Mus musculus: one gene and its partner. The protein of the gene in region 1 interacts with the protein of each later gene in a biochemical or structural test. Links are inferred from orthologs where the notes say so. Each region holds a gene or a part of one and is shown in the gene's direction. Other genes may lie near its edges.

The links.
Region 2: the proteins of Jade1 (region 1) and Kat7 form a complex in vitro, tested with the Homo sapiens proteins (2 studies listed by BioGRID). The link is inferred for Mus musculus from reciprocal best matches to the Homo sapiens genes JADE1 and KAT7.

The regions. Positions count from the first base shown.
Region 1 is NC_000069.6:41,553,656-41,559,738, forward strand, and holds the start of Jade1 (protein Jade-1), read left to right. Parts: upstream 1-2,078; 5' UTR 2,079-2,164; intron 2,165-6,083.
Region 2 is NC_000077.6:95,306,819-95,312,967, reverse strand, and holds the start of Kat7 (histone acetyltransferase KAT7), read left to right. Parts: upstream 1-2,721; 5' UTR 2,722-2,918; coding exon 2,919-2,933; intron 2,934-3,269; exon of another isoform or gene 3,270-3,410; coding exon of another isoform or gene 3,411-3,431; exon of another isoform or gene 3,432-3,590; intron 3,591-6,149. UniProt on the Homo sapiens protein: Catalytic subunit of histone acetyltransferase HBO1 complexes, which specifically mediate acetylation of histone H3 at 'Lys-14' (H3K14ac), thereby regulating various processes, such as gene transcription, protein ubiquitination, immune regulation, stem cell pluripotent and self-renewal maintenance and embryonic development.

The DNA.
Region 1 (6,083 bases):
CATGGTTTAGGGTGAGCTATCTTGTAGGGGTGGTCCTAGGATGAACTGAAACCAGGCCAACTGCAATTCTGTTCCCTTGGCCAGGAGTTTCTCTGCTCTCAGGAGTCTTCAACTAAATTCCAAGGGAAAGAGTTCTTTTCCTACTCTCTCCCCCACGTTCCCATGTCCTTTCATTCCGCCTCAAATCTTCAGATAGTAGTATCACCAACTGAGTGGGAGAAGACAGGAAGAGTCATGAAGTGGGAGGGAGATTAATCCTGCTTAGAGGAGGCTGAGCTTGGATGTGGTGTTTAAGAAGCCGCTGAAAATACAAAGTGAATACAGTGTCACAGCCTTTAATCTGGGTGCTCAGGAGGTAGGGCAGGCCGATGTCTGTGAGTTCAAGGCCAGCTTGGTCTACATAGTGAGTTCTAGAACAACAAGAGCTACAAAATAAACCTTAAAACAAACAAACAAACAAACAAACAAATAAACAATCCCCCAAAACCTTAAAGATTAGAAAACTAAACAAACAAGGTATAACTTGAAGGGTGCATATGCGCCTGGCTTGGAGGATCCTGGGACATCTCACTAATAATGGGGAATGACTTCGGGTAGAATCCTAAAGGAAACTGACATCTATACGAATCAGAAAGAAAATGGGCTCAAACTCGGTCCGGTCCGGGACAGAGTGTTTTTTTGTGTGATGTAATTTACAGCTCCTTCTGGGAAGCCAGGGTTACCTGCCCGGCTGACGGACTAGCTTAATAATCTTCAACCAGATGTTTTCTTTCCTTATCTTTCTTGTGTCCATTATCAATCATGTGAGCCAAACATTCTTTTTTTCTTATAAAATTTCTCAACTAAAATTACTCACTCCTTCTTTAGATTCTTTCCCAAATGCCACACTGGTCATGTGTGAGGCTTGGGCAAACAATCAGCAGGGAGAGGTAGGGAAGGAAACAGAAGAATGTCCGTGTTGTGGAAGTCAGGTGACTACATTTCAAGAAAGGGGGGAACGAACCAGGGAGATGCTTCAGCAGATAAAAGCACTTTCTGCCAAGTCAGGCCCCGCGTGATAAAGGAAAGAACCAACTTCAGCACATTGTCCTCTGACCGCCACGTGCCTGCTGTGGCACATGCGCACTCTGTCTGGAAAAAGAATAAATAATAATAAAAATTATTTTTTTAAGAACTACATAGCATAGACAGCAAAATTAAATCTAAAAAGATAGGCACGAGTATGACTGAACAACAGTATCAAATTTGGTGAGATCCAACAATCTAAGGATAAGAGGCTGTCCCAGCCTTTACCTAGAAGAATGTTGTATTGGCTGGGACAATGTGTGCCAACTTCTAACACATGCTAGAATGATCACAGAAGAAGGAGCATCCGTTGAGGAAATGTAGCCCTGAAATCCAGCTATAAGGCGTTTTCCTTTCTCTTTCTCCTTCTTTTCTTTTCATTTTTTTTTGGTTTTTCAAGACAGGCATTTTCTCAGTTAGTGGTCCATGGGGGCGGGCCCAGCCTACTTGCGGGTGGAAGGCTGAGCGAGCAAGTCGCTACTACGTAGTACTTCTTCTCTCCATGGCCTCTGCTTCTGCTCCTGCCCTGTTTGAGTTCTTGTCCTGACTTCCTTTGATGGACAAACAGTATTTTGGTCTTGTAAACCAAATAAATCCTGTCCTCACCAACTTGTTTTTTATTTATTTTTATTTTTGGGCGCGCGCGCGCGCGGAGGGGGGGGGGTTCATGGAGTTTTGTCGCAGCAGTAGTAACCCTAAGTGAGCTCAGTCTTATTATCTGTCTGCGGGTGACCCACTGGTCTTTCAAAAAGTGTGGGTGTACGCAAAATGGAGAGAGGAGAACTTCTGGAGCCGTTCTGCTCCACGTCGTCGTGTTCAAAAGTATCCGGAAGCAGTCGGTGGCCAGCCAGCCAGGCCAGGCGCCAGCCGGGCGGGGGTAAAGGCAGGCTGGGAGGGGCGTCAGAGCCTGGGGGTGGGCGGGTGGGTGCTGTGGCGTGTGGAAAGGTCGGCTCCTCCCACCGTGACGTGATGCCCAAGACCAGACTAAAGAGCCTGCCCGGAAGATCACCTGCTCTTTGGGTTCTAGAAGGCAGAAGACATCCTTGTCCGCTCGCCTGCTACCTCTGAGGAAACTCGGGGCTCTACTCAAAGTGCTGAGGTAGGTGGTCCACCTTGGAGATAGGTCTCGGGGAGAAGGGGGACACTGGTGAGGGAAGGGCAGAGGCTTCCAGGATTAGTTGAGGTAGGGGGGATAATATCCTGGAACCAGTGAGCGTAAATCTCAAGCCGGTCCGCCCTGGTCTGGGCTTTCCTTCCCGCCCTTTTTTTGCCTTCCTTTCCCTTGGCGCCCACCATTTTGAGACCAGATCTTTGGTAGTCCAAGCTGGAGGGAAAAAGCATTGACGTTGGGATGGATTGGAGCTTCGGTGGCCCTGAGCACTGGGATTGCAGGCGTGAGTTTACGGGACTGGTCTGCGGGACTGGTCTGCGCCATGCGATGGCTTTGGGGCCTGTTAGGCAAGCACCCTACCAAGTGGGCTACACCCCTGTCCCATGCTTCTCTAGCTCTGCTTCCACTCCAGATTCAGCCATCTTGGAACTACCCCAAAAGACTCCGTCAGGAAAGCCATAACGCTTAGCGGCTCATTCTGCTGAATCTAGCCCTGGATTCTTAATTCTTTCAAATTATTTCATTCCTCCGCTTCCCACAACCTGTTAATCTCTGCGGTAACTTCGAACCTAGGACCTGAAGCCCAGCTCTTGATCCAATACCCTTCCTCTCCCGTCCTGTGTATTTTCTGTGTATCTTGGATGTCTAGAGGTCTAGGTTGGAGTCATGTGGGGACCTTTCTGCAGAAGAATGGAGGCCTGTAAAGAGCCTGGTTTATCCATCTCACTTGTCCTTAGCTTAGAAGTCAGTATCTTTCAAACACGGGAAAGAATTTGAATTCTGGAAGTTCTGGGCGTCTTCCCTCAAGATGGCTCAGGAAGGCAAGCACGTGCGTGATGGAGCTCCCCTGCCCCCCTCCCTCGCTCCCCCCTCCCTCGCTCCCCCTCCCCTCCCCCCTCCCTCGCTCCCCCTCCCCTCCCCCCTCCCTCCCCCCTCCCTCCCTCTTCCTCCTCCCTCTCTCTCTCCCTCACTTTCCCCTCCCCCTTCACCTCCCGCCTCTCTCTTAAACACACACACACACACACACACACACACACACACACACACACACCACCCCAGAAAAAAGTGAGTGAATTGTGTGGCCGTCATACCAAGACTTGGGATCCTTCGCTTCACAAACATTCAAGTAAGTGGTGGACCTAGCTATCCTCAAAGCTTTTATCTCCTAACTCCTAGTTAGTTCTTCTTCAGGAGAAAGAAAATCTGTATTGTTTTTCTCATTTGCTAAGGAAGTAGGCTCATACCATTGAAGTATAATGTGGAAGAAAAGGAGAAAGTGGAGCTCTCTGGTAACGGCCTAAGAGAGCTCTTAGGGGTGACTACTAAAATGGACCCCAGCAGGCCCCTTGGAATCCTGGTCTGTGGGAGGAGGGGCCCACTACCTGGAGGTCTCTCTGATTGGGCCCTGCTCTTCTCTGCTTTTCCCTGTGTGCACCCTAGCCATGACCCAGGATCCCTCTGCATGTGGGGCCTCCCACTGTCTCTTCCAGGGACCAGGAGGGAGGAACTGATCTTGTCGGAGCAGCTGGCCACGCCTTTATCTAGGCTGGTTTGCCTGCGGCCTCCCAACTATGACCGATTCCACGCCAGACCTCCTTCATCTCTGACCTAGTAACTTGCAGGGGCCTCCGACCCAATCCCCGCCTGGTCAGGCCTTCATTTTTCACCCTCAAGTTCCGGGGTTCAGAAAGTGTGTTTGTCTGACTGTTATGGCCTAGTCCTATAATCTCAGCCTCTGGAGAGGCCGAGGCAGGATTGTAAATTCCGGGCCTGAACTACAGACCCACGTGGACATAATGAGACCCTGTTTCAAAAGCAAATATAAAAACATGTGAATGTAGTCCAGAGGTAGAATGCTTGCTTGTTTAACGTAGGCATGGCCCCAGGTTCTATCACGAGTAAGGTTGGGGTTAGTGAATGCCGAGGAGCGCGCCATTTTCTGGGAGTAGACCAACCGGTTGAGAAAGCACTTGGAATGTGAGGGGAGGGGACAGGAATTACACAAGCGCTTCTTTCTGTGTAGGCCGGGCTGCCTCCCAGCTCAAGATCCCTGTGCCTCAACCTCTCAAGGGCAAAAATAATTGGTGGATGCTACCACACATGGGTTTCACAAAGTGATTTTTGAGCCACCACTGGGTTAGAATTACTGAAAGGTTTTGACCATGTAGGTGGTTGGATTTTACTTTCAAAATCTTCAGGTCTGAGATGGGGCCAACAGGAATGGGTTTCTACCGAGTCCTCAGTGCTGCTGACCATGAAGTTGGTTAGAGATCGTCTTTTTAACTACATCTTTTCTAGTATCTGGATAAAGCTGGATCAAAAGCTAGAGTCGGTTCTCAGATAAAAAGAAAAGTGGCGGGCTGGTGAGATGGCTCAGTGGGTAAGAGCACCCGACTGCTCTTCCGAAGGTCCAGAGTTCAAATCCCAGCAAGCACATGGTGGCTCACAACCATCCGTAATGAGATCTGACTCCCTCTTCTGGTGTGTCTGAAGACAGTACTTACATATAATAAATAAATAAATCTTTAAAAAAAGAAAAGTGGGGCAAGGCATGAAGGTTGTGGAAGTTCTAAAGGTAGTTAACTAATGGGCAGATAGTTGAGCTTGGTGATAAAAACGCCAGACATTTCTACAAGCGATGATGGCCGGGGAGGGAAGTGTCCAGCAGAGAAAGATCTGAACAGAGGTGGCCAAAGACCCAAAGATAATACACACCATCTGAAAAGAAAAATCCTGACCAGAAGTGAATATTGTAGGTGAAAAGCATGGCTATAAGATGTGATGTTTGGCCTCATTCCAATTTCAGGAAAATGGCAGGGAAAACATAGAAATGTGGCAGTGTTTACAAAAGTTATGTCTATGATTGAATGCTTATTTCCTTTGTATTCCTAAACTTTCAAAGTCCTGTGATATTTATAGATAATAGATGCTTTTCTTCCTTTGAACATCCTCAGCCTTGGACGTGTCCACCTGGCTGGATTAAGTTATTCACATCTTCTCCCACTTCACACTTAATCTCTCTTTGACACATTATGTTAAAACTATGAAGCAGGGCAGAATGAAGGCAACCAAAACCACAACAGAGTTGGCAGAAGACAACAGAGAAAAGGAAGAATCATGTTGGGGTGGAGGAAGAGACTGTAGTCGGTACTGATCCCAACACAAGAGTCCTGGGTGGGCATTGTTACTAGTCAGTCTGTGGATTGAAAACTGTCACCATCCATGTGAAGGCTTCATAAGCTGTTCAGGAGTAGTGACCTCATCTCTTATGCCAGCTAGGGAACTCTAGTCCAATCCCTTAACCTACCATCTCTCCTCCTAGGTATGATGCAGGAACTAAAGATGGTTCTTAATTTGTTAAGAATTTTATACACATGATTTGTATGATTTCTATACCACAAATACAAATACAAGTATCCAAGTTTTAGTTTAAAAATCCATTTTAATGTGGAAGAATATGGTTCTTAATTTGTTAAGAATTTTATACACATGATTTGTATGATTTCTATACCACAAATACAAATATCCAAGTTTTTAGTTTGTTAAAAATCCATTTTAATGTGGAAGAACATGTTGTGAAACAGAGCCCTCTTCCATGTGATATAATCCAAACAGGTTAACAATAACAAAGTGGTCCTTGGCAGTCATACAGTGTGACAATTATTCTTAAAAATCCCTTTGATAACACTATTTAGGATACAAATCAAATTTAAATTAAAACAACAAAAACAAATAACCGTTTGACAGACTGCAACCATTCTATCTAAGACCGACCTTGTGGAAAAGAAAAATCTGTGTGTCACATACATGCATACATACATACATACATACCAACTGGCAACAGTACTTTCCATCCATCTTCCCGAAGGAATGACTACAGACTCTTTTCGTTTCAAATACAAGCAGT
Region 2 (6,149 bases), on another chromosome or scaffold:
TCTGTCCTTCTATTTTTTTTTTTTTTTTTAGTAGTCCATAGCATTTGAGAACAACTCAAACTCATAGCTCCACTGAGGGAAGATGCTGTTTTCTCCATCTTGGTATAACATGATGTCTGTGTAATTGCTAGGTTTCTAAAGCTGAAGTGAGCTAAATAGATAGAAGTGACCACTGACACCACAGGAAAATACCAAACAGTAGGATGCTATAGTCATGATTAGAGAGACTGCAAACAAACAAAGAGCCATACATCAAGCACTTACTCTATCTCAGGAACTTGCTGAGTCTTTCAAAACACTCATTTCTTTTATTCTTTCCAACCACTTAGTCAGCTGGTCATTAGCACAAACACTTTAAGATGAGAAACTTAGGTCAATTTAAAAACCCATCCAAGGGGGCTGGTGAGATGGCTCAGTGGGTAAGAGCACCCGACTGCTCTTCCGAAGGTCCAGAGTTCAAATCCCGGCAACCACATGGTGGCTCACAACCATCCGCAACAAGATCTGACTCCCTCTTCTGGAGTTGTCTGAAGACAGCTACAGTGTACTTACATATATTAGTAAATAAATCTTAAAAAAAAAAAACCCATCCAAGAGCAACACAGAGAGAAAAAAAAAAAGACAGAGCTGATCTGCATCTGACATCAAAGCCTTGTACTCAATTCTAGTGAAGCTGATAATGAGGAGTAGGGACTGTGTTCCTATTGGCTGGGAAATGGAGGGGGGACATATCTACCAACGTTTGAAAATATGCAGTAGTTTCTGAAAAATAATGTCACCATGTTTTATTACCTTACAAACAGTAAATCAGGAAAGTCTTTCTGAAGACAGAAAAGAAATTACAGGGGGTTGGAAGATGAATCCGGTCTAGGCTGACCTAGAACCATGTAGCTGAAAACCTTAAACTGAATCAAGCTTTTGATTCAAGGACTGGGAGTACAGATGTGTGTCACCACAAGCCAACTTAAAAGGATATTATTCAAATATAAGAGGCTGTTAGCACTAGTTAGGGAGTTAGAACATTCCAGAGTAGCCCCAGGAACATATCCTTACGTGAAAAGAACAGTGATAGAATGGATTAAACACGAGAGAGCTAAAATAATACAAAGGAAAATATCTGAGCCCTTTTCAAGCAAGTTTTTATGTGCAAATCAACTCACAAAGATTGTTAAAAGGTATTTATACTAAGTACTAAAAGCAAAATACCGAATGCTAATGGCGTCAACAATGGCTTAAGCTATTCCCCACCCCCAGCCCCAGGGAATGTGGGCTAAGGGTCTGGAATTTTTTTAACTCCGAAGAGTCCTCTGTTTAGCATGTCAATCAGGTTTGTATTCTGTTCTTAAAGCCTCTCTCCAGGTTAGCCAGCCTCAAATGGAAATTCTGATAGGGGCCTGTGGGGGTTCAGGGGATAAAAGCACTTGCTCTTTCAGCAAGCTGGATGACCCGAGTTTGATCCCAGAGACACCACAAAGGTGGAAGTTAGGAATCTATTCCCCAAAGTTGTCCTCTGAGCACTCACCTGGTCATGAGTGCGTGCTCAGCTCACACACACACACACACACAAATCTGGAACCAGAATTCTATCTTGGTAATTACTGAGGTTGCTTTGATTCCAGCAAGTCACTCTTGGTTCACCTTGGTTCTTTCAAGTCCTCTGAGGCTAAAACTTCAAGGCCTACAAACCACTTTCCAGACTTTTCTTTTTCGAGACAGGATCTAGCCTGGAACTGGCCATGTAGACCAGGCTGGCCGTAAGCTCATGATTTGGATCTGCCTGCTTCAAAAAGCATGCACCCCCACCCCCACCCCCCCACCTGGTTCCAGACTTTTCGTATAGCTCTTTCTTCTAGTCTTAATTTCTTCTTCTTATGGCCTTTTATTATTACTTGAATACCCACTCCCTTTCTAGTGTCTTTCAAAATACTATTTCTCTCTCCACTCAGTTCTTGGCTCTTGCATTTGTGCTACAGAGGTCACACGGGCTGAATGAGGTTCAACACTTCTCCGACTTTTGGTACAGCACCCTCACATTCAAACCACGTCCTCCGCCCCTCTCCGGGCCACCCAAAGATCTCAAACCAAAGCAGAGCACTGATAAGCCGGGGGCGTTTCACAACAGAGATAAACTGGAAATTCTTTGGCGCTCCGGCATCCTGAGAATGGCTCTGCATCATCTCATAACTTACTTCTTGTTCTCTTAACGCAAGGACAAGGCATAAAGAGAACACTCTACCCCACTTCAAGACCGACAACGACCCTGTCAATCCTTTATTCAAGCCCCATTCACACCACTCCGGAACACGGAATAGCTCTTACAGCAGTTCCTTGGGCAAAATATCTCTTGCCAGTTCGGAGTTTACAGAATGAACGGAAACGTCCTTCGGCCGACTAGGAAATGAAAGAGTTAAAGATCGACAACCTGATGGATTCTGGGGTTTTCCTCCCTCCACGCCACAAATTAAAACGACGAGGAAGGAAGAGTTTGCCCAATGTAAAGATGAAAACGGTTACCTTCAACTGCCAGACTTCTGCCCCAAACAATCATGGCTACCTAATCCCACACGAATGCCGCCTACCTAACTAAAAAGGTCTAGCCGAAGGTTTCACCACTGGTGCCGTCTCCTGCCCAATTCCAAAATGGCGCTGACTGGCCTCACTAAGAGTTTCGAGCTTCCCATGATCCTCACTGGCCTAAAGGTCAGGTGACGCAAGCCTCAGCCGGAAGTTAAGGAATAGGCGCTTCCAGCCCGCGGCGCTTGCGCAGAAGGCTCTAGACGCTGAGAGGTAGGAGGCACTTGGGATCGTCCGCAGGGTTTGGGACAGCTACAGAGGCCGCCACGGAGCCCGCCGGAGCCCCCGTTCCTGCTGGTGCTGCCGCCGCCCGAATCGGAACCGTCGGGCTGCAGCCGCCGGCAATGCCGCGAAGGAAGGTGAGAAATGGCAGAGAAGGGATGGCGGGTTTCTAAGGGGAGTCGATTGAGTAACGTGACGCGGTTGGCCACGCCTCGTCGTGCTTGGGTTCCAACTTTCTGGTCCCCCGAACCTAGCCTAGCTACTCTGTCTCCTCTCGGTACCAGACAGAAAAATGTGGGCCCGACCCTGGCCTCGGCCTATGCCTGTAACTATTCCCGCCCTCTGCTTGCCCGGATCGGAGGCGTTCTTGTTAATTGGTCGCGGAAATGTCTAGAAGCGTATTGATTGGATGGTGACGCCGCCTGTTTGGGCCCAACGGTCACCTCCCCGCGTGCGTGGGCGGTGTCTCGGTCTGGCCCCGGTGCTCTCCGACTGGCTGTGGCGAATGCTCTCCCTTCTCTTTATTGGCCCAGCTTTGCAGTCTGTTCTTGTGGCGGGTGCGGCTTAGCAAGGCCTGGATTGGGGCGACCAACGCCCCGCCCTTCCGGATAGAGATGGCGATAGGTGTTGTAAAGGCGAGTTGGGAAGACCACTTTCCTTTCCTGGTGGGGGGATTACAACAAAGCCGAGGATGGGTGGTTAGAAAGCCAGCGCCCACCCCCAAGGGATAGCTCGCAGGCCTGTTGCGTCTCAGTCACCGTCTTCCACCTATTTGTTCAGTTTGACATTTCCTGGTCAGTAAATGTTTGTTGAACTGTATGACATTTGCCCCATATGTTCAGTCGTAAAATGCAAAGAGCAGTGTTACGTGCTAGTTGCTAGGAATTCGAAAAGTATGCGTGATCACTGGCTTAAAGGGTTATCGCTGTTGAGAGAAGAACACAAAGAACCATAGTTCATACAGTCTCTGCTTGAAATTGTATACACTGTAAGAAAGCCGTTAACGTGGGAAATAAGTAAAGAGCTGATTTTCAGGGTTAAGCCAGGCAGAATTGATAGGTCATGGACGGGTGTCAGGGTCTTTGGCTGAGATGACCCTAAAGTTTGCCTTTTAGTGACATTCTGTGCCTCTATTTACTTGTGGTCAGATTTTTGAATGAAATATTTGGATGGATAGACGGTTGGTATTCATATTTCTGCAGAGATCACTCTTCATGGAAGCTTTCCAAGTTAAATATTTACATTAATGTCTCTTGCAATGACCAGAGTTGACAGGTAGTATTTTTTTAAAAGATTAATTTATGTATTTTATGTATGTGAGTACACTGTAGCTGTACAGATGGTTGTGAGCCTTCATGTGGTTGTTGGGAATTGAATTTTTAGGACCTCTGCTCACTCAGGCCCAAAGATTTATTTATTATTATACATGAGTACATTGTAGCTGAGTTTAGACGCACCAGAAGAGGGCACAGGTGTTTGTGAGCCACCATGTGGTTGCTGGGATTTGAACTCAGAACCCTCGGTAGAGCAGTCAGTGCTCTTAACCTGCTGAGCCATCTCATCAGCTCGACAGGTAGTATTTATATCCAGGCATACCAAATACAAGAGACAGACCTACTGGTTTGTTGGAATGATCTAGTCTCCTTTTAGCAGTTTCCAAATGTAAAAGTGGAGAATGTAAATTCTTCCTGGATGTTATGGTACAAGCCTTTAATTCCAGCACTTGGGAGGTGGATCTCTATAGTTTGAGGTACACATGGCTGATATGCTGGGGTGTCCTGACTCAAAAAGAAGAAGAAAATGTAAGTTCTTGCTGGGTATAGTGATACACACCTGTAGTTCTGGCATCCTGGAGGCTGAGGCAGGAGGCTCATCTTGAGCTTAAGGCAAACCTGGGTTATATAATAAATTCCAGGCCAGCCTGAGCTAAATAGCAAGAACCTATCTCAAAACCAACAAAACCCAAATGTAAATATGTTGGTAACTTGGTTGATGGCCAATCTGTCCTAATCTATCCTTAGGTTATTTAGTTTTTTTATATGCCTCATGTAGTGTGATACTAAATTTCTGTTTGCTAGAAAATATTAATGTTTTTAGTGTGGGTTGTTAATCACAGGATATATGTGTCCTCTGTAAGAATCTAGTAACTCCAAACATACTTGGCCCCAGGGAGCTTATTCTTTGAATAAAGCGTTGGGGCCTGGGACTAAGCTATAGCTCAGTGGGGTGTGGTTACTGCCGGGAAGCCCTGAGTTCAGTCCTTCGTCTGTCCCACTCCCTTTTCCTGCCAAAGATAGTAGGACTGAGTTTGAGGAGTTGTAGTGATTTCAGCAAGTACTCTTTGTCCAGCTTAGAAAAGAGCACGTGTCAGTGCTTACTAGGTAAAGTAATCTTCATGGCTCATCACCCTTCCAGAGGCCGAGAGTTATGGCTAGGGTGTGGCATGCGTTTTTCTGAGAACCTGACACGTGGGGCTGCAGGGATTGTTCAGCTGGTCAGAGTACTCATTGCTCTTGTAGAGGACTGGGTTCCAAGCACCTTGTTTCAAGCCTCACAACCGCTTATGACTCCAGTCCCAGGTGACTGGACAACCTCCCTTGACCTCCGAGGGCGTGTATGAGATCAATATACAGGCAAAACTTTCACACATACAGTAAAATAAATCTAATTTTTAAAAAGCCCGGTTTGAATACCTATTTAGTTTTTAGTATAAATTCCTTTCCAGCAGCACTTATAACATCCATGTGGAGAAACTTTGAGGACTGATGGTTAAGAAAATAATTTGTATCTTTTTTTTGGTTAATTTCTTTCAGTGGGTAAGAGCACCCGACTGCTCTTCCGAAGGTCCAGAGTTCAAATCCCAGCAACCACATGGTGGCTTACAACCATCCGTAACAAGATCTGACTCCCTCTTCTGGTGTGTCTGAAGACAGCTACAGTGTACTTACATATAATAATAAATAAATCTTAAAAAAAAAAAAAAGAGCTCCTAGAACTGGAGCTCCAGGTAGTTGTAAGCTGCCATGGATGTTGGGAATTGAACCCAGGTCCTCTGGAAGAGCAGCAAATGCTCTTAACCACCAAACCATCTCTCCAGCCCCAAGAACATACTTTGAAATGACCCCGGTCAGGGTTTCTCTGTAGCTCTGGCTGTCCTGGAACTCTGTTATGTAGACCAGGCTGCCCTGGACTCACAGAGATCTTCTTACTCCTAGGATTAATGGCATACACCACCATGCCCAGCTAATATAATTTTTATTATATTATAATATATAATATAATTTTTGTTGATGGAGAATTTGAATAAAATTTACCCCAAAGTTCAGTGAGGCCTAGCAATAACATTTTATATG